Cricetulus griseus: one gene and its partners. The protein of the gene in region 2 interacts with the protein of the main gene of each other region in a biochemical or structural test. Links are inferred from orthologs where the notes say so. Each region holds a gene or a part of one and is shown on either strand. Other genes may lie near its edges. The genes, in order: Rev3l, Mad2l1 and Ubd.

What was found.
Region 1: the proteins of Mad2l1 (region 2) and Rev3l form a complex in vitro, tested with the Homo sapiens proteins (2 studies listed by BioGRID). The link is inferred for Cricetulus griseus from reciprocal best matches to the Homo sapiens genes MAD2L1 and REV3L.
Region 3: the proteins of Mad2l1 (region 2) and Ubd form a complex in vitro, tested with the Homo sapiens proteins (2 studies listed by BioGRID). The link is inferred for Cricetulus griseus from reciprocal best matches to the Homo sapiens genes MAD2L1 and UBD.

What each region holds. Positions count from the first base shown.
Region 1 is NC_048595.1:262,228,755-262,238,464, reverse strand, and holds the start of Rev3l (DNA polymerase zeta catalytic subunit), read right to left. Parts: upstream 5,023-9,710; 5' UTR 4,691-5,022; coding exon 4,552-4,690; intron 1-4,551. UniProt on the Homo sapiens protein: Catalytic subunit of the DNA polymerase zeta complex, an error-prone polymerase specialized in translesion DNA synthesis (TLS). Lacks an intrinsic 3'-5' exonuclease activity and thus has no proofreading function.
Region 2 is NC_048601.1:76,484,727-76,494,544, forward strand, and holds the start of Mad2l1 (mitotic spindle assembly checkpoint protein MAD2A), read right to left. Parts: upstream 4,733-9,818; 5' UTR 4,604-4,732; coding exon 4,531-4,603; intron 4,208-4,530; coding exon 4,061-4,207; intron 1,348-4,060; coding exon 1,227-1,347; intron 366-1,226; coding exon 262-365; intron 1-261. UniProt on the Homo sapiens protein: Component of the spindle-assembly checkpoint that prevents the onset of anaphase until all chromosomes are properly aligned at the metaphase plate.
Region 3 is NW_023276806.1:228,537,491-228,547,333, forward strand, and holds Ubd (ubiquitin D), read right to left. Parts: upstream 5,215-9,843; 5' UTR 4,672-5,214; coding exon 4,654-4,671; intron 3,346-4,653; coding exon 2,878-3,345; 3' UTR 2,501-2,877; downstream 1-2,500. UniProt on the Homo sapiens protein: Ubiquitin-like protein modifier which can be covalently attached to target proteins and subsequently leads to their degradation by the 26S proteasome, in a NUB1-dependent manner.

The DNA of each region.
Region 1 (9,710 bases), on a different chromosome or scaffold from region 2:
TTTAGTTCTTAAAAAATTTAAAATGACTTAATCCATACTTCCTTCATGACGCCTTCCCTGGACTTCCCTTTTTGCCTGTCAGGTGGTCGCCTCACTCTCCTTTTGGAGTCCTCACTATCTCTTACACACATTTCTATTTCAAACTAATCATTCGATGTTCAATTTACACTTCCATGTCTATCACTGCTTATTTTCTGAGTTTCTGGAGGGTAACGCTGCTTTAACAAAGGCACACAGAATATGTTGACATACGCTATGCTTCTCCATAGTGTTCCAGATTCAAGAGGGCTCCAGCCTGCTTCTGATTTGCTGATATGACTTCAGTCAAATATATTACATAAAAATAGTCAAGCTTTCTATTTGGGACTTCAAATATTTATTAAAGTGGACAACTTTAGCCTAACTAGATCTCTGTGTGCTCCAGAAAATCTCTAATAATTATAACTGAATAGGTCTTACATGACCTTAAGATATTTTTGAGTGTTTAGCTAAAAAGTAAACAAGATTCTCAATTTTTTGAGAATCTAAGATAAACGCTATAGTTTTCAAAATCATACTTATAAAACTGTATTTAATAATCTACCAACTTACCAAAACAGGTCATTATAATAGTCCACTGCAGCTAGGTTTATAAAATAGAAGGAGAAATGGGTCAAATAAGCCCCTATACTCATGTAGGATTTCAGAATTATAATCTATGTTTGTAAAGAACCATCTGATTTCATGTTACTATCTCCAACAATCTATAAAAATACTTCAAAGTAGGAGAGAAAGGTACAGTAGTGAAATTCCTGATCATAATCTTGAGAGCAAGCAGCTCTTCTATTTACTCCTAACTCTGCATTTTCAGCAAGGGAAGCTCTTTGAAAGGGTAACTATATTTAACCTGGTGCTAAGAAAACCAAGAATCATCTAAGCTCAGCATGAAGGGTGCTACATCAAGTAATGAAGCATGGGATGAGATGTGGAAACTGGACAGCATCCAGTTCCTCACCTGAGTCAGGTCCTCAGTAGGATTCTATGTGAATTCCCTGAGTAGTCACACCCACATTCAGTATAAATGAAAAGGCAGGATCTCATACTTTGGTAATAATCTTGCTTTTTGTTCACTAAGACAAGTTACCAGAATGTTGGTTATAAAAGAAAAAAACACTTTTTTTTTCTACAAATAATAATGCTTGGGACACAGTTGCACCAAAATAATGTTCAAAACTTTTTTTAAACAAAATATGAGTCTAGGGCCAATGAAAAGACTTAGCTGGTTTTAAAGGCACTTGCTGCCTGAAGCCTGATGACCTGTTTGATCTCAGAAACTCACAGGGTGGAAGGATTCCCTCTGATCTCCACCCATGTACATTCATTCTCATTCTCTCTCTCTCTCTCTCTCTCTCTCTCTCTCTCTCTCTCTCTCTCTCTCATGAAAATAAATATAAAAAATTTTAATGAGTTTGAAAGAACCAAAGATTTAAATTTAAAAGTAATTTCATCATTCACATGAAAATAAGAAATCACCATATTCACTTAGCAAATGATCAAACCCATCAGTCGAACTTCAAGTATGAACATGTTACCTAAAAAAAGTATGTATATATTCGCAAATTTCACCAACTCAAAACACAGAGGCTTTTAAATACAAGACACTGTTTACATTATGCAAAATATGTCCTTAAAACAGGACAGCAAAAGTTAACTGGACTGTTTCCTAAAGCAGAAAATTACTTTTCATGCAATAGCAGTATTCCAATCAGTTCAGAATTTATAATTCTTAAATAGCCATTTTGAGAGAAATATTCTTCTGATGTTATTTTTCAGGCCTTCCTTTGAAAAGCAAATTCTGTTTAAAAAACATCTTTTCTCCAAACCAAAGTAAAGAATTAAGGACTTCCATAATTAACACCTATAAAGTGAAGACATGTTTATGGCGCTTCATGGACTTATCAGATGTTACAAATTTTCATTCATGTAGTTTGCTTGTTAGTAAAGATGTAAACTACCTGCATTTTGTAGTAGTAAATTTGTTTTCAATAAAAATTCTAGCATTCAGAATTTTTTTTTTCCAAGACAGGGTTTCTGTTCAACAGCCTTCGCTGTCCTGTAACTCGATCTGTAGACCAGGCTGGCCTTAATCTCAGAGATCCACCTGCCTCTGCCTTCCAAATGCTGGGATTAAAGGCGTGTGCCACCACACCCGGCAAGCATTAGATTTTTAATAAAATGTTCTGACCTCTCTATTACATTATTATTTTCAAGTTTTATTTCTCTATGTGGCCTGGACTAGTTTTCTTTGGGAAGAGAATTCAAAAGCAGAAAACTCTGCAGCTTAGTTTTTGAGACTGAATTAATATTAATTCCACTGGGATTTTCTAACATTAAGAAATGCTTGATTTATGAAAACTGTAGACGTTCAGTGTATGCCAACTACTTCAATTTTCTTCTTGTTGAGGAGACAAGAATTGTTTTATACTATGTAAGGAATTATTTTATTGTTTTCTCTCTTGACCTCAGCTCCAAGGCATATCCAACCAAGTAAATTATTAACATACATTAATGAATGAATCATTGAGTGCTAAACTGACATTTATATTCATCCATGTGTCATGCTTGAAACAGAAAATTTTGTTTAAGCCTATAAATTTTACCTCTTTCAACCGGATAATCTCTGGCAATTTGAAGTTTGAAAAGTATGTTTTTATTCATTTACATTAGACATTTCAAAGTATACCATAATACAGTGATTTTTTTCTTTTTTTTTTAATTAGGGGCTAGTGACCTATTGTAAGATATTCAGGAAGGAAAGAAGAGATAAATACTTCTTTTGAAATATTTCACATTCCAATATTCAGAAACACAGGTGTATATACCACAGTCTATATATATGTAAAGGATATTCTTCCACAAAACTGTGCTGTTAGTGATAATCTGTGCTGTATTTCCACAAACAAAACTTTCTTACATAATACACCTTTAAAATCACCCAGAAATACATATTTAGTGAGTGTAGCAGGAAAAACAAAACTGTAGAAGAGCAACTCAACCAGCGTACAAACTGCTACACCACAACACATCCTATTAGCATGTTGCTCTACAACTTGAAAATCAACTTCACTTATCATTCTCTGCCCCTGAATCGAGAACAAGCAGGGTGTTTCCCATCAAAACAAAGACAGCACCACGATATTTAAAAAGGTAGAAAACCTATCCTGCAGAACAGTATAATGCCTCTTATCTTCCAGTCTTTCAAGTACCAAGGGCTGTACTCTGCACAAACTGTTAACAGCATTCGATTTCTCTATCTTCCACGGTTCACAGCGTCAAACTCCCACTATTTGAAAAAGGAGTCTTTTGCCAAACCTTATTTATAGCATTGACATTTTTAACAAAGAGAATTCACATTAAAAGGTAATAGCTTAGGATGGGGGCCTACATTTTGGAAAGTGGTATCATCTTGGTAGTGCACAGAAGCTGACGATAATAACAAAGATGAGTGGCGATGAGGCCAAGGAGCATCAAGTGGGAAATGCTATCTAAAATCCCATAGGGCGAAACCTGGGCAAGAACATCTTCCTCCAGAAAGCCGCTCTATCATTTCACGTTAACAGTTTAAAAGCATGTAAAAAGCAAAACAGAAAAAATGAAAACAGGAAAACCATGTGTATTTGGCCACTATCCTATTTATATTATAAATTCCAACGAGTGTTCCAGAACATAGCTTCTGTCATTTTTCCCACCATTTCTTCGAAATAGTCCCCCCCCCCTTTTCTATTTTTAAAATGCAGCCCTACAACCCAGCCTAGAGGCATTTAAAAACGTCTCTGCTGCTGAGCTTGGCTGTGTTTCCTAACGAATTCACCCCGTTAAGTGTAATATTTTATGTGGGGCGACACAAGCACGCATTTCCTATTTCCACGGATGCACGTTTCCTGAAAGCATTGCACCTGAGGATGCCGCTCTGTCCCCGCCGAGGCATTAAACTCTAAGCAGTCACGACCTGCACTCCAGCACAACCACATGGTCACTTCAATGAGAAAGATTATCTGGCCCCGGGCGCCACTTTCTACAGCCACAGCTTCTCCGGCAGGGGCAGAGGAGAGCGAGGGTGAAAAGAGGCAACAGCGAGCGCCTGACAACAGGGCTGACACTTCCCCTCAGCGCTCAAAGCCATTTCTAGAACAGGGCTCTAGGGAGGCGCAGCGGGTGTCCGGGGTCCCACCAACCACCGACCTCTGAGGACCCACCCGCGAACTCGTCCTTGGGGGGACGAGGCACAGCCACCGAGCCGGGGCCCCAGCCCGCCCGCCGCTCGCACAGTCCGTACCCGGCGCCCGCTGCCTCTCTGCCGCGGAGGGGGGCGCAGCGCTCGCACGAACCCACATTTTTCTGCGCCTCCTGTCACGCGCGGGAGAAAAGGCGAGCAGAGCGAGGAAGAGGGAAGAGTCCGCAGCGACCCCGGAGAGGGCCGGCGGCCGGCGTGCGCGCGACTACGCGGCGGCGGCGGGGAGGGCAGCCCCGGCGCCCCGCCGCTCGCACTCCCGCCCGCCCGCTCCCGCTTACCTGCCGGGGTCGCTCCGAAGACTCGTACCACCGGCACCTTCTTGACAGGGAGCTGGGTGAGGGGGGATTGGCAGATATCCAGCCCCCGCAGCGGGCTGGCCATGTAGTAGTCGGCAGTCACTATCCTCACAGAAAACATGTTCGCCGCCGCCGCCACCGCCTCCCCTCCACTGGCGACCTGGCAGCGGCGGCAGCAGCGGCGGCGGCTCCGCAGAGGCGCCTCCTCCCCTTCTCGCTCGGGTCGGCTCTCTCCCTCCTCCCTCCCCTCGCACGGACGCCGGGACGAGCGGCGACGCGCCGGGGGTGCGGGGCTGTGGTGCTGCCGCCGCCTCCTCACACGCTCCCGGCGAGAGGCAGCGGGAGAGAAGCCCTGGCGCGTTCGTCGGGTCGGGTGGTGCCGCTGCTGCTGCCGCCACGGCCGCCGCCGCCGGGAATCACACGGGCTCCTCGGTCCCAAGCTGCAGCTCTTGTTGCCATGATGATGATGTCACGGACGCAACCACTGGGGGAGGGGTGGAGGGGTGTGTGTGTGTGTGTGTGAGTGTGTGAGTGTGAGTGCGCGAGGGTGGCGGCGGCGGCGGCGGGCCGGGGAGGGCGGCGGGGTGGGCCGGGCGCGCGCCCCGGCGGGGACCCGGTTGGGGGGCGAGGAAGGCGTTCTCCCCGGCCCGGAGCGCGCGGCTTCGGCAAGAGCACGGCGGGAAGCCGGGCCGCGCGGCGCACGCCGAGGAATCGATGATTCGGCCTGTGGGCTGGGTCACTGCGGCGGGGCCGGGGGAGCGCCGATATCATGGATGGGCTCGGAGGGGCGCTGGGTTTTGGAGGCTCCTCGCGCTCGCCTCGCCGACCGCCATTTCACGTCCTCTAGAGGAGGCGGGCGCGGCCGCGGAGAGGATTTTTTTTTTTCCCCCCCCGCACAAGGTAAGGGAAGCCGCCCGCGGGAGAAGGGAGGCGCGGCGTAGATCTCGTGCGGCCCGGGCCTCGCGGGAGGGAGGGCGGGCTGGCGGCCGGGCCGGGGCGGGGCGGGGCGGGCGGGGCGCGGGACGAGCCGGCCCTTCTCAGGTAACGCCGGGCCGTGCGCCGTGCGCGGAGCCCGGGCCAGCGCGAGGGGCGGGGGCGCGCGGGCCTCGGCCTATAAAAGGGCCGCCCTGGCGCTCGCTCGCTCGCTCGCTCGCTCGCTGGCTCCCCCGCCCCCAGCTCGGGCGAGCCCGGCGCTCCGCCTCGCCCCCTCCTCTTCTGCGGTGCTGCAGTGCCTGCGCCCGGCCACTTAATGAGATTTATTCACGCGCGGCCCTGCCCAGCTTTGCCCAGGGTTGGCGAATACACAGCGCAGGGATTTCCCACCGCCGTGTTTTTCTCCCGCCCCCTGTTTTCCCCCCCTGTCCCCCCCCCGCTCGCCTTCTCCCTGCACCCCTCTCCAGGACTAGTGCATTGACTGTGGTTTCCTCCGCGGCCGTGCAGGCTGCACCCCAGCAGGAGCGAGCGAGTGCACGTAAAGACTTGTTTGCCCCCGTCACCTCCCTCCACTCCGCTCCCGGCCGCGGGGTAAGCCCTGAGAGCTTTTCAGAGAAAATGTTTGGCGTAAGGAACAAGGCTAATGAAAGTCGCCGCGTATTTCTGAACACGTGCAAGATTTTACTACGGGTTAACGCAGAAGAAAAGGGGCGTGGGGTAGGACCGTTAGACAAAAACCAACTTTATTTGGAGTCTGAACGGTTTTGGAGTGATGCAGTTAGGGACTGGGGGCTGTGGAGGGAACAGATGCTGCTGCTTTGGATATTAAATTAGAACCTATGTTTGGCTTGGTCACTAATAATTGGGCGTGACCTTGGACAGATAATTTGGTCTCTTTAGGCTTAAGTTTTCTCTCGTGTAGAACGAGAGCTTCACTTAAAAATTAATCTTTGTTCCCCTCCCCCCCAAAAAAAAGGATTTAAGAAGTAGGACAAAAAAACTATGGATTCAGCTTTGAGATTTGCTACTGGAATTAGGACACTTGTCAGTCAATATCCATCCAAAGTAGAGCTCATTCTGTCCCACTTACAAAATTATACAGGTGATTTTTTGCCTGATATTATATCGCCTTGTATTTGGAGTGGTATGACAGCTCCTTGTTTGCAGGCATTGTAGGTTTTCACATAAAATCAAAAGGCTTAAAGGGACACTTCACTGAAAGAGGGTTCCTATAACATAAATGCTAATAAGAATTTATGCTTAGGGTGATTTGAGACCGATCAATACTGTAAATTACACTCAAGCACATCATAATAAATGGCAAGACAAGGGCATAACCTACTAGCAGCTTTAGTACAAGGGAAATATTTTAAAATTTATTTTAAGTACTAAAATACTATAGTTGTGATTTTAAAATAAGACTGCCATGCACAAGCCCTAGGTTCATCTGTAATGTCCAAGTGCATACTCACCATGTGTTTTCTGATAAATATACAAGCAGAATGTCATATTGACAGTAGCAGTGATTTCCATGATGTTCTCTGGCGCTTACAGTATTTTTTAAATTGTGATTTTGTCACTTACTAAATCACATTTTGGGGGGATGGGAAATTGAAATCTGTATTCTTAGCAACCTTACCAGTCAGCCCTGTGAATCTCAAGCAGTGTAAGATTGAGAGTCCTGTATTATATTTTGATGAAATCCATACATAATTTTTAAATTATACTGTTTCTAACTGATGAAAAGTAAAGGTATCAAATTAAGATTAGGCTCTTTCTAGAACAAGCTTCTTGACTGTTGCCTCTGGAAACATTATTTACTTTTTCAAAAGGCACTTAACAATCACGTTTCACATTTTTCTAGAACTCCAAGGAAATAGTGTTCACTTTTGAAAAACATTTACAGCTTTGAGGTGAGGAATATTGTTTCTGTTACATGTAATTTAAAGTTTATGATCAAATAAGAAAACCTGATAACAGTCTCCTAACCATGATTTAATAGTTTTTATAAATATATTCTTCCTGGAAAAAAAACTTATAGCATTTTTAGTTAGTGAACTCCATTTTAAAATTTAATTTACTAGGTAAGTGAGTTTGTCTGATAACTATCAGTTTATTTTCTCATCTATGAAATGATGAGAAAATCATTTTTTTTCAAGCATGTAATCAGACTCAAAATTTAGTAATATGGGTGATAGTTCACATCCAGATGACCACTCTGTGTACAATATGTACAATGCCAAACGTGAATTTAAGTATCTTTTTTCCAAATGGCTCTCATTTGCTAAGATAATGAGAGAAATGGTGATAAGGTCTCTATCCTTGCAGAGTTTATATGCCAGAATTATATGAACTGTATTTTAATGATAGCAACTAATATTTGTCCATTTTTCTAGTTCATTGACTGACACTTATCCATTTACTCAGAGCCTTCCTACCTTCTGTATCAATACTTTTCAACATCAGTTGAAAACATTTGCTTCTGAGCAATTGATTATCTGGAATAGTAAGCAAAGACCACCCTATTTGTGTGTGTGTGTGTGTGTGTGTGTGTGTGTGTGTGTGTGTGTGTGTGTGTGTGTGTGTGGAGGGTTCCTGTTGGCTTACAACCCGTCCATTCTGTAATAGCAACTTTTCTTATTGTGGCCAGAACACATGACTAGAACAAATATACAGAGGGAAGAATTTATTTTGACTTAAAGTTCTAAGGAATAGTCCATAAGAGAAAGACGTGGTAACAAGAATTTGAGGTTGCTGCTTATATTTGTCCAGGCAGGAAGCTGAGAAAGATGAACTATAGTGCCCAGCTCACTTTCACCTTTTAATTTATTCAGGGACCCCAGCTCATAGAATAGTGCTGTTCACAGTCAGGTTGGTTTTTCCCTTGCCAATTAAACCTTTCTGGAAATACCCTTGTAGACAAAACTTGTTTCCTTGGTGATTCTAAATCTGACCACATTAACAATGAAGAGTAACAACCACAACCTTCTAGCTTGCTCTTCTATACTTTATAAGCTGGCAAATAAATTGGTTCAGACTCCCTTGCAGCTAGGGTACTAACGTGAGATTAGTGGTGTGATGATAAATAATTATTACCAGCCAAAAGGAGTATGGACCACCTGATATTTAGTGTTCAAGTTTCTACAGTGACTCCCAAGCCACCAGAATGATTTTACGTAAATGTGAATTAATTGGAAAGGATGCTAATAATCAGAAACTGGCTTCAGTGTGTGGTTTAATTTCCAGCAGTCAAATGCACTGATTCAAGGTATGTTTCTGAAAGTGGGCAACATAGCAATTCACCTGTTTGGAAAGATGAGGTCTTCTGGCAGACACCATGGTGACAGTAACTGATTCTTCTGGGGGGAATGCTAACATTTATTTGCAGTGTTAGAAATTATGACTGGCAGGTGGTATGTATGGATGGGTTTCACAAGAACAACACTAATGTGAGTTGTGCTTTCTTCTAGGCATTGTTTTTCCTGGAAGTTGTTTCTAGCTAAACCTTGTTTCCTGGCTTTGAAAGATTTGTGATCTAAATTGTATCCATTAATCCTTTACTACTTAAACTAGCCCAGTGATGTCCAGTTGCATAATTTGTGAACCTCAGAGCAAAATGAAAATGTAGCTTCTGGTTCCACTCCAGAGACAAAATGTCATTTTCTGTACTAAACTATTATGCTGTCACTGCTTCCTCTTCTCCCTCCTCCTCCTCCTTCTCCTCCTCCTCCTTCTCCTCCTCCTCTTCCTCCTCCTCCTCCTCCTCCTCCTCCTCCTTCTCCTCCTTCTCCTCCTCCTCCTCTCTCTCCCTTCACTGGCCATGGTGTTTTCTAAATTTGCTGATTTGTGGCCTAGACTGGCCTGCAACATGTGATCTTTCTGTCCTAACCTCCTGTGTGCTAGGGTTATAGGCATACAATACCACCCCCAATTTAATTTGCTTTTTAATGACAGTAAGTTTAAGGGAAAAAATGAAAATTTAAATTCTTATGATGAATTACACTATTCATCTTTATATTGTACAAAGGAGTTTTCAATGCAAATAAAACAGTATTTCACTCATGTGGACCAAAATTACCTAATTGGAATTTCATGTCTTCCATATCCATTTGTATTTGTGATGTCACAACTGTGTAAACTCAGCACAAACTCAACTTTTTATTTCCCTTCTTCATATCTTCATATGTATACATTCTAACAATATTTTC
Region 2 (9,818 bases):
TGGAGGGTCCTGGAAGTGGGGATCCTAACTGAGTCCTCACACTTGCTCAGCAAGTGCTTTAACCACTAAGCCACTTCCTCGGTCCTTGCACTCACATTTTCTGGAACACACATCTGTTTTTTGTGCTGCATTCTGCTTCCTGTATCCCATTTATATTTAAAGGCAGTGATAAATTATGAGGTTTAAACAAATGGGGATCCTCCCAACAGCAGCATACATTTTCCCACGCAAATTTAAATAAAGAGATTGTATAATACTTACAAGAAACTTCCAGCAGTGGCAGAAAGGTCACGGTAGCTGTGATTTGCCTGATCACTGAACGGATTTCATCTTGAATGGCTTTGTGTGACTTTTCTCTACAAACACTATAAGAGAACCAAACAGTTCATTCTAGGTTTCATTAAGTTAACTAAAATACACTGGTGACTATTTATCTGAACAAAATGCTCCCAACAGCACAGAAGCAATATATTAGGAGACTAAAGATATTCTTGGGCTACTGTATCTGCATCTGTCCTTCCCATCATCCTTCAGGACTGAATTTAGTGTCAGGTCATTCAGTGCATGACGATTACTAAGTTTCTCAACCACCCCGATAACGACAGGTTCACTAACTCTTTCAGGATATGGATTCTAACACAGAAACTTGGTAGAATTTTGGCACTTTTTCTTCTAGTAACATCTAAGTACCTAATTCCTTATCAAATCAAGTAAAATAAATTACACATAAAAACTTCCATAAGCTAAAAATTTCCTACAGACAAAAGAGCAAACTGCTCTTCATTATAGGAACTTATAGAAAAGTGTGTCTAGCATTAAGGAAATTTCTGATGTAGAGCAACTGAAATCTTACAGTTTACAAAGTTCACGGCATTAGATGGAATAGAGCCACATCTAAGTTAGGGACGGGTCTAGGCTCACTTCCTGCAGTTAACAGTACCTTTAAGCGAGTATTAAATAGTCCCCATAATATATTATATCATGGTTTTGGTATAACCAGAAATACAAAGGTCAAATTTCACTGGGTTTGCCTAAAGACAGAATGTTAAAAGCATCTTATCTATACAACCACTGACAGGCTAAGAGGAACTCAAGTCCTCCCAAGCCTGTATCTTTAAAAGCTTACCATAAATAAAGAGGGTAAGAAATCAGTCCAAAACAATTTGAACTCATGTAACAACAGAAGCTGTGAAAAACCAAGCAGGAATAATTTAATCCAAACTTACCCATCTTCTTTTGCAGTCTTGTCACACTCAATATCAAACTGCCATCTTTCAAGGACCTCACCACTTTCAATATTTGAGATGACCACCACCAGCTTCTGAACAGAGCACTTGTAGAGCCACTCTGCAACACACAGGGCATCACTTACATTCTCACTGCAACATAACTCTCTTCTAAAGACCCACTTTTTAGCTTTACAAAATTCGAACAATGGTAATTTGGACTTCCTTTCATTTACAGGGAAAAGCTTCCCACTAATAATTGAGGCAATTTTTAAATTCTTCCCATTACTAACAGGTGCAACCAAGGGCATCACAGTGAACCTGTACTTCCACTGTAACTCACAGTAAGGGAATAGGGTATAGGCTTTCATCTAACCATTTTCAATACAACTGTCATGTCACATCTGTGGTGGCTGTTAGGAACAGAGAGATAGTATAAAAGCATAAAAAAAAAAATCTGATCCATTCTGGTAGGCGAAGGAAAGATTAGTTTTTTCGTTAATTCTGCAAAGGAGAGGGAAATACAGGCTTTAAATACCCAAAAGTGAAGAACATATATAAATTGGCAGGACAATAAAATTACAAAGACAAGGAAGAATATACTATTATGAAAAATCAAGATGCTATATCCTGTAAAATCTTATCTGTGGAATTAATGAAACTATGCTTTTAAGAATCAGGAAAACCACAACTGTGTTTTAAGCAGAGTGAACAATTAAACTTGTGTTTCCAAACTATCATACTTGGTAGTAAGTTAGCTGGAGGGGGTAAAAAGAGGGTCTACAGACACTAGGATTCAAAGTTCATAGCATAAACCGGTAGAGAGGGAACAAAGCAATTTCATGCTTAAAACTGTTAAGATTATCTGATTAGCTTTCAATAAGAATCATTTTGATTCGAGGCCAGCCTGGTCTCCAGAACGAGTGCCAGGATAGGCTCCAAAGCTACACAGAGAAACCCTGTCTAGAAAAACCAAAAAGAATCATTTTGAGGTAGCTTTCAGGTTTCAGACTTCATTTCTCGTTGGACTGTTAACCTAGTAACTAATGAACAATTCTCGAGATCATCCTACATTTAGTTTTTATTCTGCAGAGTATAAAGCATACAGAGATGTCACGTTGTTTATGAGTCTGGAGTAGAGGGTTAGCTTAATCACATAAAAGTTGGTAGTGAAGTTGTGAATGGCACAGATAATCTAGCAATTATAAAGAGGATCTCAGATGGAACCCTGAGTTAATACTGAAATTGGGATAGCAACTCAGTATACATCATTTTTCTTTTGTAAGATTAAAGTTGGAGGGAGATGAAACCAACAGGAAGAATGGAAATCATAACAGAGAAACAGAAAATACAAGAAAGAAAAGAAAGAAAGAAAGAAAGAAGTAAAATGCTTCTAAAAAGGCTAGAGGAAATGGGACTGAAAAGAAAGAGAACAATTTGCCTATTCATAAAGAGCAATTCCTGTGTTTTAACTAGGACAGGAGAAGTGAGTGACAACAAAAATGTAGATGAGGTACAATGTCACCAGTGACAACCTGTAACCCCAGTATCAGTTAAGGCTGGATTCTCTATTGAACCAGGATGATGATGATGGTGATGACACCTAGCAATAGCTATCTAGCAGTTCCAGGTCAAGTATGAGTGACATCCAATGACCATACATGATTCCACCCTGACCCACAATCTGGGAAAATAATGAGAGATGGGCTGCTCCTCTCAGCGTATACGTATCTTGCTTGCACTTGAGAATAGAAATCTATCTCCACATATTTATCAAGTACTTCACCTTTCCTATTCTAGCTGTCTAATCTATCAAAGAAGTTCTCAACCAAGAGCAACTTTATCTACAGGGCTTCAAGGTTATCGAATTTCAGGATAGTCAAGAGCTTTTGAGAGACCCTGCCTCAAAAGTAAAACAAAACAAAAAAAATATGGCCTTAAAGAGATGTCTATGTTCAGCTGGTCACCAAAAGAAGGTCATTTTAATGCTAAAGTTAACAACAACAAAAAAAAAATGCAATGAACACTGTAATGAAACTACAATAGAAACAAACTAAAACATCTTTGCAAAAAAAAATTTCTTAGGAGCAGTGGTGCTCTTCCTAAGAATTGACACCTTCTTCGGGTCTTTTAAGGAACCAGGCATGCACCTGGTACATACAGACATAACCCAGGAAAAACACCCAAACACATGAAAAACTAGAGAGAAAAAAGACAGCTGTAATGCTTTTGGAATTGGTTTTTATAAGACTTTGTTGGGAGATACAAGGCTAAACACAGAAAAGATTATTATAATTAGAATGGCAATCCTAAGTGGTGTGCAACACGAGGAACAAGGATTCCAGAAGGAATAGAAATAGGTGGGAATAAGTATTGGCCAAACAGGCAGCACAACACTGAGCTACGAATGAATAAATAAACTGTCCAGATACTGAATTACAGCCACCGCTTTTAAGGAAGATAAAGAGAATAGTTGAAAAGTAAAACCGGAACTTTCCTGTATATTGTTATTTAGTAATACCCTGGTTACAACAACTGCAGCATATCAATGGGTGTCTAAGAAGAGCAAAATCATCTCGTGTAAAACCATCAACTCGTTGTACCTGTTTAAACCGCAAAATGCATTCCTAAAGCAGCTGATAAGACACTTCCGACTCCGAGACGCCTAACATCAATACACTCAGGCTACTTAAAAGCAGTGGGAGAAAGGATGGGATTTCCCTCCATTACTTCCTCCCTCCCAGTCCAGAAGCGCTGTATTTGAGAAGGCATATTGCTTTAAGCCACCCTCGTAAACGTAACCCTGTCAGAGGTAAAACTCAAAACGTGATTACCTTTCAGCTGTTCGACCACATTATTGAGATACTTTATGAGCTCGGGGTCAGTAGTTACAAGCAAGGTGAGTCCGTATTTCTGCACTCGAGTAAAGGTTTCCGACGGGTATATGCCACGCTGATACAAAATGCTGTTGACGCCAAACGCTGAAAACGAAAGGAATCGAGCAGTGAACACCTACTCACGTTTCCAAGTCTTCCAGAAAGCAGAGCTGACACAAAACGACACCGGAAAACCTTCAACCCAGCAATGCCAACTCTCACGACACCGCAGTCTAAGTGCAAATACACATGTGCTGAGCGGATGTCAACACAGACCCCGGCTTTCAAAGCGCGAATGGCACGATGCCCCAGGGAAGGCCCCTCCGTTCTCCGCCACGGCACGAACGAGCAGGAGACCGGGCGGTGGTTCCGCCCTAGCGCGTCCTAGGTCCCGGCCAGGCCGCTCTCCGGCCGCATTCAAAACTCACAAAAAAACTCGGCCACGATCTCCGCGCTCCCGCGCAGGGTGATGCCTTGCTCTCGGGCGAGCTGCTGCGCCATCACTCGATCTAACGGAGACCGCTGTCAGCCTCACCGCACACCGCGCCCTCCCGGCTCAGCTCCTTCAGCTATTCCCCGCCACCCGGTTCAAAAATAACTACGCAGCCCGCGGGGCGCTCCGTGCGCAAGCGCAATGTCCCGCAAGCCCCACCTACACCGCCGGTTTCCGGCCCCGGCCCCGTCCTATAAACGCCTCATTTCTCCCTAAGCCCGCCCCATACTTCCGGTTTCCGCCCTAAGTCCCTCCCCCATAACTGAACCCTCTAAGGACGGTCTGCTCTCAAGATTCCGTCCAGAAGCGCCGCTTCCGCTGTGAACGCAGTCCCTCGAGGACCAGAGAGCGGCCCCTAAGTTCCGCCCAGAGCCACTTGTATCCGGCCCTGGCTCCGCCCTCGCTGCTTGCGCAGGCGCAGAGTGGGCCTGGCTCCGCGCTCTCCGGCTTCCCGCCCGGGAGGGTCGCTGTGGGTGGGGCCTCTGGTCGGGTGTCCAGGAAGAGCCCCAGGGTGACGGGGTGTCCAGGAAGAGCCCCAGGGTGACGGAGGGAAGGCTCGCCGGCTAAGTCCAGGTCCGAATATCCCCGAAGTAGTCTCAGCTTCGTGGATAGTTTGCAGTTTGGGAGAGCCTGTGTTTTGTGTGGGAACGCGAATTTTCTGGAGAAATATCAGAATAGGGACTGGGTACAAGAGAAGGCTCAGCCAGTAAAGCCAGTAAGGTGTGTGCCTTCAACACACACACACACACACACACGAGAATCACACACACACACGAGAATCACACACACACACACACACACACACACACACACGAGAATCACACACACACACGAGAATCACACACGAGAATCACACACACACACACAGTAAACACACACACACGAGAAACACACACACACACACATACACACACGAGAATCACACACACACAGTAAACACACACTCACACACACAGTAAACACACACACACGAGAATCACACACACACACACACACGAGAATCACACACACACACACAGTAAACACACACACACGAGAATCCCTTCAACACACACACATGAGAATCCCGCACACACACACACACACACACACACACACACACACACACGAGAATCCCTTCAAAACACACACACACACACACACACACACACACACACGAGAATCCCTTCAAAACACACACACACAGTAAACACACACACACACGCACGAGAATCCCTTCAACACACACACACACACACACACACACACACACACACACACACACACACACACACACGCATACAAGAATCCCTTTCTTTGTAATTAAAATAGCTTGCTTTCAAGTTCTTTGGTCAAACGCTCTTCCTTTTTGAGTATTTAAAGCCTGTACCAGAGCATGTAAAGTTACACATGGGCTTCATGTTACTGTTTTTTTTTTTTTTTTTTTTAAACTTTTTTTTAAAGATTTTATTTATTATGTATACAGTCTTGTGCCTGCGGGCCAGCAGAGGGCACCAGATCTCCTTCAATGTGGTTGTGAGGCACCATGTGGTTGCTGCGAATTGAATCTCTGGAAAACAGTCTGCTCTTAACCGCTGAGGCATCTCTCCAGCCCCATGTTACTGTTTTTATGTTGAACAGTGTACGGGGTCCAGGAGATGGCACGTCTTCCAAGTGTCCCAAATGTTTCTAATGCTGGTACACAGATCACACTTTGAAACCAATCGACTACTACAGATATTATAATACGAATGTTTAAGAAGCCTGAATTAAATAGTTGCCAGAGAGATGGAATAAGGGTTACATCAGAGAGCGAAACTGTGGAGCAAGAGTTGATGACAGATGAGGAAGACGAATGAAACGGGCATGGGTAAAGCTGAGGTACAATGCCCTGTACTCCCAAATGGTGGATTTTTCTAATTACTTAATCACAGCAACATTTAAGATTCTGGAATCTTTGAAAGTTGATTTCTTAACTGTTAACTTTCGAGCACTTGATTTAACACTCCTCCCCTTACCAAAAGCAATACTATAAAATGTTTCTTTGAAACTTCTTAGACTGAGTTTACTTTTCCTCATAATTCAGTGAACTCTTGCTGTGTATTGTTTAGGGAAAGGATGTTTGAATGGGGAGGAGTAAAAATTGAGTCTTTTTTGATAAAGCGAATCCAAACAATAAACAGTCATTCTCTTATTAATAAAACAAATAAATATGGAGATATGTCATAAGTAGGCCTATATTTTATATTAGGGTATTAAAAACAATTATTTGATATTTTTCTAAATCTAGAAGCACATGAAGGCCGAAGAACTCCATTAGTGACTTAGTTAAGTAATCTTATAGATAGGAACTAAGATCTAGGGTAGTTACAGAGTTAGTCCAAGAACCAGTATCTAGTTAGGGGCAGATTTATTGTAGAGTTTAGACTGCTTACCTTAGTGTCCTTTTAAAACAGAGTTGTTTGAAACATGCCAATAAATTTCTTTATTATTGTGAGGATTTTGGCTGGGGGCAAGATTCGGGCTAAGGACATAATTTGTTTACAGATGTGCAATAATAAGCTATAAAAAATTTTGTGTAGATACACAAATATTTACAATTGCCAGAAGAGGGCAGTGTTTACCTGTACAATGAAACCTTTGAAACTAGAGCTGAATGCTTGTTAATAGTTTTTAGGCATTTGTGTGTGTGTGTGAAACTTCAGAATGAAATGGGCCAGCAGTCTGAAATATAATATATGTGCACCATACATATTGAAAATACATGTAAATGGGTTCTTGAAACTAAGTAGTTTATTCTAAATCCCACAAAACCGGGTATACATATCATATTTTTGAGCAGTTTTAATCTGCTGAAGTTTCTTTAAAATAATATTTTTATACTGGGGTTGCATTATGTGGATTTGAAGTGTTTGTTTTTTAGTTCTGTTTTTTTTTTTTGTCCCAAAACTTAGTGTTACTCAATTTCCTTTTTGGTGTTGTTCTTGAAACGGGCTCCCATGTATCCCAGGCTGGCTGAAAACTTTTTATGGAGCCAAGGATGACCAGAGCGTCTTCTCTTCCTGATTCCTCAAGCTGACTGCTAGAATCACAGGTATGTGTCACCATGCCCCATTTATTCAGTAGTGGGAATTGAAGCAAGGACGTCGTACAAGCGCTCTTTGAGCTGCATCCTCACCCCTTACTTTTTCTTACAGAGCATACTGTTCACTTGAACAACAAGAATTATAAAGCACTCATTTCGTGTTCTGATTACCAAGGCTCATTTAATATGTCTAATGAATATACATATATTTACATGGTTTTCACAAGTAAGTTGTAGAGTGTAATTCTCTTCAAGTCCTGTTCCCCTTCCTCATACTCCCGCCCGCCCCCAGCATTCTTTGATATGGGACTCAAGTGCTCAAACAAGAACACGTAACAAATTTTATGATGACATTTAACTAATTATCAGTGCTTTAAGTGTTATTATTTGTGTATGTGTATGTCTGAATGTGGGTTTATCCATGTGAGCACAGTGCTTGTGTAGGCCAGAAGAGGGTGGCATATCCCTTGGAGCTGGAGTGTGAGTCATGGAACTTGGTTCCTGGAGACAAGTCTCAGGTCCTCTGGGGAAGCAGCAAGCACTGTTCACTGCTGAGACATCTTTCCAGACCCAGCATTGCTTTAAAAGGTCAACAGATATATTTCCATAATGGTAGAGTTTATAATTTTAATGACATGATTGCACACGTGGTAAATTTTTAGTAAAAATTAAGTATGAAAAATTATTGAAAACTAATATAAATTCTTACAATAACTAGATGGCTTATTATCAGGAAGCATTACCACGTTTTGTTATCTACTTCATTTGTTATTTATATAGCATTTATTGCAATGTTATCATGAGAGTTCTACATATGGACCCATAGACAGCACAGTCCATAGAGAGACTCTGGGCCTGCCTGGCTTGGCATGTGTTTAGTCACAGCCCAGAAAAGTAACCTCTATAGTAGTCTTATTTTTTTCTTCAAGCTTCAGGTTAGTTCTCAATCATGTATATTCATTCCATTGTTTATGGTGGAATTTTCCACGTATAAATTGAGTACGGCAGTTTTTCTTGTGTATAGCCCTTTTAACACCAGCCACCAACAAAAATGCTCGCCGAATCCAGATTTTATTTAAAACTGGAGATCAAGTAGATGGTAATTACCTTATGCCAATGTAATTGTCAGTTTAGATGCCATCCCTTTGCTTCCAAATAGACTCTCTGTTTCAAGGTATTCTTTAAGTTGAGCTAAAATAAGCCTCTCCTAATTCATGTCACTAGCATTCAACAGGAAAGAAAAAGTTGTCTCCAAAAATATCCTTACGGACTTCAGTATAGAAATGGCACACGGTATACAGCATTTGTATATTAATAACTACATTTTGACTTGTGTGGCGAATATTCTTAGTTGCATTCTTCTTAAATCTTGGTTTAATTAATTTTTGAAGAATGATATAAAGTCCGATATTTCTTTTCATAGTTGCTATTGTGATTTGGATATGAAGTGACTTGAAGGCTCATGTGAGGAAGGCTTGCTCCTCACCTGGTGGCTCTATCAAATGGTGGGTGTGTCATGAGGACTCTGACTTTATCAACACATTAGTTATTAGAGTTATAGTTGGTAGGCTATTAGAAGTGGTGAAAGTGTTAGGAGGTGGGGCCAGTTGGAGGAAGGAGGTTGCTGTGGGGTGCCTTTGAAGGATGTACTTGTTTCTAGATTTTTCCTGTCTATTGCCATTTCCTATCCACCAGGGGATGAACTGTTCCAGCTGTTCTACATAACGGCATGCTCTTGTCCATGGTGCTTAGCCTTGCCTTAGGTTCAAAACAATAAACAAACCTCTGACCCTGTGAACTAAGGTAAATGCTTCCTGCTTTAAGTGGGTGTTTTGTCGCATATTTGTCAGAACAGTGAGAGTCTGAGTAGCATAGTTTAATTTAATTTTATATTTTGTCATTAAAGGTTAAAAAAGGTGGAAATGTACAAAGACCCATTGGGGGGAAAGTTCATGGTTGATTTCTTTATTATGTTAGCAATTTTGCAAAGATTTCATGAAAAGGTCTTATTAAACTTCAATGTTTCTGGGGCCAAGTATATGTTTTTACAAAGTAATTAAGAGGGGAGATACATTTAACAGGTATTTACTATTTTTTTCTCTGCGTTTAGAACTCATTTGTAATGTATACAATTTATAAATAGATTAGAAAAATCTTTC
Region 3 (9,843 bases), on a different chromosome or scaffold from region 2:
GGCAGGCGGATCTCTGTGAGTTCGAGGCCAGCCTGGTCTCCAGAGCGAGTGCCAGGATAGGCTCCAAAGCAAACAGAGAGAAACCCTGTCTCGAAAACATACACACACACACACACACACACACACACACACACACAAAGTGGCAATGCTGCTCCATCTAGTCACACTCAGGCTTGACTTTTACACAGTGTACACTTTTAAGGAAAATGGGGGAAGAAGGCTCAGAGTGGATTATGTCCTTCAGTAACTGTCTTCATAGCAGCCCTTGGTAGATACACTGAATTTCTTCTTTAATTCCTGGAAGTGCATCCAGAGCCAGGGAGGCATACCTGATTAGCGATGGACTTGTGACACATGATTTTCTAAATCCTCAACCCGCTCCTCTGCTAAACATAAGCATTGTTTCCCTTGGAGGAGCTTGTGAAGGAATACTGGCGTGTGGCTATGTAGTGAAACTAAAATTAGGGCATGGGCTTTTCCTCTCTTGCCCAGTTTATCCCACAGGGGGGATTCTTGCTTGTCATAGATAGAGGTAAGACAGGGCCTCACCGTGTAGCTATGATTGACCTGAAACTCTGTGTAGACCAGGGTGGCCTCTGCCTCACAAGTGCAAGGCCTGCACCAAGCCCACTAGCATTAAACTTCTTTGTCTTACCCTTCCGAACCTTCTTGGAGTTTCCCCTCAGGCTAACCACAGCTCAGCAGAGCGCTTCCTGCTGCTGGGTTTTACGGACTGGCCCTCACTGCAACCCGTCCTCTTCGCGCTGGTTCTTTTCTGCTACCTGCTAACGCTGACTGGCAACGCGGCGTTGGTGCTGCTGGCCATTCGCGACCCTCGCCTACATACACCCATGTACTACTTCCTCTGCCACTTGGCCTTGGTGGATGTCGGCTTCACCACCAGTGTGGTGCCGCCGCTGCTGGCCAGCCTTTGCGGCCCGGTGCTGCAGCTACCGCGCGGCGGGTGCATAGCGCAGCTGTGCGCATCGCTGGCCCTGGGCTCCGCCGAGTGCGTGTTGCTGGCGGTTATGGCGCTGGACCGCGCCGCTGCCGTATGCCGCCCTCTGCATTACGCCTCACTCGCCTCACCCCGCTTGTGCCGCGCACTGGCCAGCGCCTCCTGGCTTGGTGGCCTGGCTAACTCAGCTGCGCAGACCGCCTTGCTGGCGGCGCGTCCGCTGTGTGCGGCCCGGCGTCTGGACCACTTCATCTGCGAACTGCCGGCGCTGCTACAGCTAGCCTGCCGCGGCGGCCGCAGCGCCACCGAGCGCCAGATGTTCGCGGCGCGGGTGGTCATCCTGTTGGTGCCTTCTGCCGTCATCCTGGTCTCCTATACCGCCGTGGGGCGCGCGGTCTGGGGTATGCGCTCCCGCGCAGGGCGGCGAAAAGCGGCGAGCACCTGTGGCTCTCACTTGACCGCTGTGTGCCTATTCTATGGCTCTGCCACCTACACTTACCTGCAACCCACATATAGTTACAACCAGGGTCGCGGCAAGTTCGTCTCGCTCTTCTATACGGTGGTCACACCCGCGCTCAATCCCCTCATCTACACACTGCGGAACAAGGAAGTGAAGGGAGCGGCACTGAGGTTCTTGAGGAGTCTGGGGAGGCGGCAGGTCGGACAGTGAGAGGACTAAGGAGAACACAGGGTCCGGGGATCTAGGATGACCATATTGTTAGTCTTTGCATGAAAATCTGCAATTTTGCCCTCGAGGAGTTCAGGGTTGGCAAGAGGGAGATCCCTTTCTCTCACTGGCTAGGATTTGGATTCTTGAGGGGAAATCCCGGAAATATCTAAACACACAACTATAGTGATGGGGTAAACGGCTCTTAAGACTTTCGACAGAAGGGAAGCATGATGAAGGAGGGGGACATCGTCACCCTCAGGAGACTTGGTAACCACTCCTGAAGAATCCACATGGAGATAAGACGATGGGCACCCTGGTGCTGACCTTTAGTTTTCCCCAAGTTTACAAAAGACCGTGAATAATTCCATGGTCTCAGCCATCAGGCAGAGTCCTTGTGCCCTACCTTACAGCAATAGCTTCCAGAAACAGGATGCAGTTTCTCTTCTTGGGGAGCCAGCCCAGCTAATACAGAACAAGCCAGGTGACCAGTGTCCACCACAGGGCATAAGACTACAAGGAAAATCTGCATGTATAGGCAGTTGTGCCAGGCCTGGTTAAGCTGGGAATCCCATCTGCAGGATATGGCTTTTGAACTAGTTTTAAAGAAGAGAAAGGACTAGAATTGGTGAAGATGAGAGAGCAGCCATGCATGTGGCCAGGAGTGAGACAGAGGAGCAAATAGAAAGAAAACGGAGAAAGCTATTTGATGGTGAAGGAAGTTCTATCAGTCAGAAGAACCCAGAAGTTAACCCCTTCCCTTCCTTACCCAGAGATGAACATTTTGTTAGGTGTTAGACACAGCAGATGGAGAAGGTACTAGATTTTATTTCATATCAAATATCTTTAAATAAGAAGAGGGGATGATAAGTAAATGAATTTCTAAATCATTTATTAGACTGTGATCCTATTGGGGCAAAAAAATCATAATACATTACTTCTCTGTAAGTAGACTCAATTTGGTTCAACAATTATTCAAGAATCCACCTGTCCCTGACTCCCCAGTCCTGGAATTAAAAGTGTATACTACCACACCTGACTAATATTTCAGTTTCCGCTCTCAGCAGCAATCCTGCCACTCAATGAAGTATGTCAGAAACAAGGAATCACGGACTTGACAAATGTTTTTAATCCACCCCCTCATCTCCAATTTTTATTTCATTGTCCTTAATTTTTGGAAATCATCAAAGGATGTGATTGGTAAAAGCTAAAAGGGGTGGGCTTTGATCCTCTTATCACCCCATCCACATAGTCAACCCCCAATGCAGTGCCCTGTCAGAAAGAGCAAACTGCCCCTCCTGATGTTGTAGTCAGCCATGGTCTTTCCATCTTCCAACCTCTTTCCATTGCAAGTCACAATCTGAGTCTTGGGGGTCACACCAGTCACACCCTCAATCATCTCTTTCACCTGGGCCACTGAGCTGGATCTTCGAACTGGGAGGAGGTGCCTTTGCCCTTCATTGGTTGACTCCACCAGAAACAAGTGCAGCTCTTCATCGCTGGGCTTCACCACCTTCAGCGTGAGGTGGATGGTTGTTTCCTTGTTAATGCCATAAGATGAGAGTGTTCTCTGGGGCTTGAGGGTCTTGGGGCCTAGCAGAAGGACCTGGTCCTGCACAGAAACCTTGGTTTTGGATCTGATATGTTCATTTATCTTCTTCACTTTGTCATTCTCAGTAGCGTCAAAGGTCATTGATGGCCATTTCTCAGAATGGACAATCTAAGAAAACAAAGGCAAGGAAGTCACCTAGAATGCCTGCCACCCTCTACACCCTACCCCTCACGTTCATTGTTCCATCTGCTTGGCCCTCCAGCTCCTACCCAACAATCTTATCTCTCCCTCTATTGAAACTTTTGTTTAATTGCCATATTATGACACAAATTAAAACATTAGTCTCATTCCTCTTGAGATATGTATATATACATATATATCCAATGTAATCACCAATTTCCTACCTTATTAATTTGCCTCTCCTAAGCCAGATATCAAAAGTAAAGACAATACAGGGCTTCAAAAGATGTATACAGATTCTTAAACAACTCCGAAGCAGATTTCCCAGATGTGGCAGCTTCAGAGGATACTCTCAGCCGTGCTTCATTCACCCTCTATGTCTAATTCAGAATGAACCCTGATTAAGTCATAATCTCCACACCGTTGCTTTCTTATTAACGTTCCCATCAATTTCTGTTAATGCCCAGGTTGTGGTGATGCTGTGCTTAATATTGTTTATATATTTTTTGTATTTTTTGTAACTATTGTTATAAAGCATAATATCCTCATTTAATTAAACCAGGATCCTAATCCTGAAGATAGGAACTATATCTAAGTTTAATTTCATTCGCTGCAGAATTCTGGAAGATGGGGGGAGAATCAGGCCTGCAAACCCTATGGAAACCTTCTCATACTCCATTAAAAAAAAACATCTTCCCAACCTAGATATTTCAGCTGTTCCTTCAGTGGAGGTGTCATCCTGTGTTGGGCACTGCCCTGATTGCAGGTTCTCTTCATGAGGACATAGTCTCACTTAAGGTAACATGTTAGATCACTGATAACTTAAATGAGATTAGGGGAATTTTCCTTTGAAAAGAGAAAAGCTTAAGGATGAGAACTCTGAAAATTATTTCTCTAATTTCACAGCTTGCCCATCCTGGTTGAAGCACAGTGCCCTGCCATTTCTCCCCAGTTTATCTGGCAAAATGGCTTATCTGATAAAATGTTCTTGCCACCAAGCCTCACCACCTGAGCTGATCCCTATGACCTAGGTGGTGGAGGGACAGAACTGACCCCAGCAGATTGTCTTCTGACCCTGCCCCTGCATGTGTGTGTACATACACAACAAATACAATAAGCCAAGTGACCAACCTCTCTCCAGAGTACCTCCTTTCTGTTGTGCAGTTATCAATGTCTGCCTTGCCTCTTAAACTGTGCCCACCCAACCACCTCCCCATCCAGGCACTGTACCCCCCTGAATTGTGGAACTGCATTCCCAAATGCATGGAAATACTTTCCCTTCAGACCCCAACTTACACAGATGCAGGAGGCCATGTCTGTAATGAAAGGCTGAGTGAGAAGAGAGTCCCGGAGTCTGCTTATATGTGAGTATCTGGGTTGGAAATCCCCAAGACCGTTGTGTTGTCCAGTTTAGAAACAACCTTTGTCCTCAAGAATTTCCTTTTGCTTTCTTTGGGGTGGAGTTAGTAATGGACACTCTTTGTACAAACTTCTTCCCTTAGTCTACTCCATCTGTACTCCTAGTTCTGAACATAGTATAGCCCTCCTATGATAAGGGCTTCCAAACCCACCTTATTACTGCCCAGCCATTGGCCTTGACTTTCACTGGCTTGATAATTCATGATACTTGGTAGCCCTCTCCAACTGCTTTTAAGAGCTCCAGACCTCTCTAGAAGCAAGGATACCCAGAGAGGACAGGTAGTATTGGTGCTGACCGACCAGACTATCAGGAACCTTTTCCCAATAACTGGGAAGAATGTATAAGACATTCGTATAAGACACAAGAGAAAATGACCCTGGACTTCAGAGTTATGTTATGGAAATATGCTCCCCTCTTTTAACACAGGTCTATAAAATTAGATAATTGTAGGCCATTCTTAATGTCTCCCCAGCTCAGAAAACCTTGCTTATAAAATGTTTATAAACACACACACACACACACACACACACACACACACACACACACACTTTGGATTCTCGGGTTTTGAACCTCTAATACATTTCCAACCCTGACTCAGGACCTGTAAATCAAACATATTACTTGAGAACAATCCAAAGCCAACAGTTAAATCCTGACTCCCACCTTTCTCCATATGTATACCACAGTTCCTGGATTTCCCCACTGTGATTCTTGGATACCTTCCTCCTCCTTGAGCTCAAAGGCACATGAAGGTGCTACTAGTTCCCTCACTCATGAGATTTGCTTAGATAAGACCAAGAATGTGAGTGAGCTGTGTGTCCTCAGGAAACTTACCCAATTACTCTAATACCAATAATATTCCTAATATTCCAAGCTTGTCACTGGCTTCTCAGGACATTCCATGGAACTAATTTTCAAAATTGTTTATTAAAAGTACTTTAGATATTTTCAAAGAATCCTGTAAAATTCCAAGTTATTATCTTTGTTTTCAGTATTTGCAGTGGCTATGTACAAATACCTTCACCTACTGAAATTTCTCTCACCCTCCTCAGTTCCTCCCCCATCCTCCTCACCTCCCTACCCATCCAACTTTATGGTCTTTCTCTATCTGTGTGTCTCTCAAACACACACACACACACACACACACACACACACACAAAAAAAAAAAAAAAAAAAAAACCCACAAAAATGAAAATCAAAACAAATAAGCAAAAGACCAATGAGACAGAAAATGCCAAAATAAAGCAAAATGAAACAAAAAGCCCACAAAAATACCAATGAGTTAGTCTGTATGTCAACTACTCCTGAATATGAGGCCTACTGTAAAGTATGGTTAATTTACCCAATGAGAGACTCCGTTGGAGAAAACTGATTTTTCCCTTTGCAATGCAGTATCAATTACAAACAGTTTCTTAGTTAGGGGTGGCACCATCCCTCCTTCTCCTACTGGAAGATCTTAAACAATTTCATTTTATTCTAGAAGGTCCCATTCTGAAGAACTTGGATTTACAGAGTACCTGGGTATAGTAAGACAATCTAAAAGCTTACTCAAATATTTTGAAATTCTAATGAAAAGTATATTGAAGCTCTTCTATTATTGATGTATTTGGTGGAGTAATATACTTTTTTAAACACAGGATTCACATGAAGGGAAGAATGCCTTGTAGAATATACTGAGTGCCGCTGGTTCTACTCTTCTCTCAGATCTCTCTCAAACTCCCAATTGTCCTCAAGGATTAAAATCCCAGTTTCTGACCACAACTGTTCAACAGGATCTTGGAATTCAGAAACATCATCAGTCTCCAGCAGAAAAATTCATCTCAGATTGAAGGTGAATGGGAAATAGCCTTGTAGGGGGATAGTGAGAAGGCCTGACAGAAGAGAAAGGCCAAGCTGCCAAGCTTGGTCTGCAAAGAGCTCCTTCACCTTTTAATTCCTTTCCGAAGTCACTACCTTCTTGTATATTTATTCAGAATTGTTTGGGCCAAGACTTGGGCTCTGAAGCCCTCACAACCTAGGCTTGGCCATTCATCCTCCATATGCCAATTAAATAAACAGTAATAGTGAAAAGCAGAGAATGGAGATTTATTCAGAGTGGTCATATTATCTTCTAAGTGTGACCACTTTGAATAAGGGACAAAGAGGTCCAATGACCCTCCAAGTCCATCTTCAACTCCCTGACATGAGGTGTAGGTGTTGAAGAATCTAGGCGAATTCATAACAAGTTGTCTTAACCAAGGTGTGGTCCTTGCCATAATCATTATTTAGGCTCTCATCTGTCCTACATGGTAGCCTGACAAGTTACCAGAACTATGTGAAATCTCCTTCCAGGAGACCAGCTCTCTACTCTGCCATCTGACTGGCATCAGGTTTCAGTCTTTTCCTTCTCCCAGCATGAGATTCCTGAGGAAATTCCAATTTGGGTGTTAGGGAGGCCTATTGCCTCAACAGTTTGACAGCTAAAGAGAGGAACATAAATATCTCTTTAGAACGTTTTTGTTCCTGCCCAAGCGTTTAAATATTCATGTTTCTCTAGGCAGGCAAGAGGGAGAGTAGATGGTAAAATGTTGCTTATAGCTACATACTCTTTTAACTTTATGTCCTTCCTTGTCAGTGACTGTCTGGGTGCCAGCATTTGCATAGTCACAGGTAGCAAGAGCTGCCTTGACCAAGAGCTGCCAGGAGAGTACAGTGCGAGTTTATCATTCTTAGCAATGATTTTTATTAGGAATGATTTTTGTTGTCTGATACTGCAGATCTGCAGGTCCATCTTCATCAACACATTTCCTTTATTTTCTTAAACACATGGAGCTCTGCCTTCCCCAGTCAGTAAGCATACCTTTCCCTCCAACATTACTCACAACACCATGAGTGTGTAAGAGCACAACACAGGCAGCATTGCCTCCAAGAGCCCCTACTCTTTCCCTCTGGTTCTGGGTTATTCTCCCATACTTCCTCCTAAATTCTTTTGAAGCCTTTTTCTGTAGCAATGGGATCACCTATCTGCTTGTCTATCATCCCCAGTGAGTCCTTGAAGACCATGATTGTGTTTTAGAACACTTGCATGCTCAGCTTGTTATCTGGCATAGAAAGATGCTTAATAAATATACAGTGTGTGAATAAATTAATAAACTAATAACAAAAAGTAATATTTAATGAGAATTTATATTTCAGAAACTGCATAAGATTATTAAGCATGACCTAATTTGATGTTTTCATGTTGTGGTGAAGAATTGGTATCTTTAGGGATAAACAAGACCAACCCACTAAAGTACTTAAAACCCATTTAAGTACTAGCTAGTCAGCAAGATTCTAGTGCACATCTTTGCTACGCTAGTCCTTGGCTTCTAGTCATATTATTGTTGCCTCCAAAGGAAGGAAAGAACAGAGAAAACACCCACTGCCGATGGGGGTTTCCAGACTGTGAAGGAGAAGCTATCTGGGGGATTTCCCACCAGAGAGGACTTAGGTTCTGAGAAAGAGTGCCTTTTCAAGTAATATAAACAATAAGTCTGGACTCTGATCCTTTCTCTTTTTCTTCCTGTCCCCATCCTGCTCCACCACTTTCTTATCATCATCTGATTTCAAGGAAAAGAACACAAGTTCAAGAAGACAGCATGAAGAAATATTCATAGATCTCAAACCAAGAAAAGCTATAATACCAACAACAGAGAAAAAGGAGACATATTCTGAAATTCAGAGTGTGTTCACCTAACAGAAATGAAGCTGAATCTAAATGCTATGAGTTACTTGAAGATATTAAAGAGGAAATAAGAGTCTACAAGTCACACTGGCATTTCTTCATCTTATCCTATTCAAATTTAAGCTATTGTGATTAACCAAACATTGTTTTGAAGCAGTTTATTCCTTAAGAGATATAATGTACACTTAACTTTATTATAGGTAATATTATGATTTAAAATATTCTAGGTGAAATTATTACAGAATAATTAGATAATACAGCATTTTGAACCACATATCTGTATAATAAATATAAACATAAAAATATAGAAAAGTAAAAATATCCACTGCCTTGGCACATGTTGCTGATTCTCTTTGATCCCTAAACATAAGGGTACAAGCTAGAAGATACACAGAGGCTGTGTGCAACTCAATGATAGAGCTCTTAATTAACATGCATGATATATAAGTCTTATCCCTTCCCTGAAAAAACAGAAAAAGAAAAAGCTACACAAAGAATTAGGTGGATTCTCTTCAGGAATTTTGTTGTTATTTTTTTAGCTTCTCTGCTAATTTTCTCCACTTTTATGTATTCTTATAAATAGGCAAAAACTCTACCACTACATCCCCAGCCCTAGTCTTGGAAATAATTCTTATTACATTGCCCATTTAAAAATATAGAATAAAAATATAGAAACAAAGCACATGAAAGAAGTAGCTGGTCATGGTTGCACACCTTAATCCCATCACTCCAGAAGTAGTAAGTTAAAGGACATCTGGTTTACATAGTAAGTTACAGGCCAGCCAGGCTACACAGTAGTAAGATCTTGTCTAAAAAAATTAAAAATAAATTTAGGGAAGGATGATTCAGCAATTGAAAGTGTGCACTGCTCTTTCAAAGGACCATATTAGGAGCATAGTGAGGAAATTCTGGACCAAAGCAAGACCAAAAACTGTAGAGGCAAACTCCAAGCTCTGCATCTCCACATCTGATATCAAAACACTCTTCAGATCTCCAATTCCTTTCAGCTTTATTGATTGTAACACACTTCTTTCTCTTGGGCTGATTCCACTCCCTGTTAGCAGCTTTTCTTAGCAGGTATCCCATAGCTCTGGTATCTCTACCATCTTGGGGTCTCCAAGGCAACCCAGGATTCATCTTCACAGCTTCATGAAATGGCCTCGCTTTATTCAGGGACTTTATTTAGGGACACCCCTGACACACGTTTGGCCTTAGCAGCTTTCCTTAGTCACTCCTTGATGACAAAGTCAGAGCCATGTGGCCAAAGCTGACAAGTTCTGCTGCTTGTTGGGGTTAGAACACGCCACCTTGTTTAATTACATCTTCACCAGATTTCTGTTTTCAATGGTTTCCTTCACTGCTT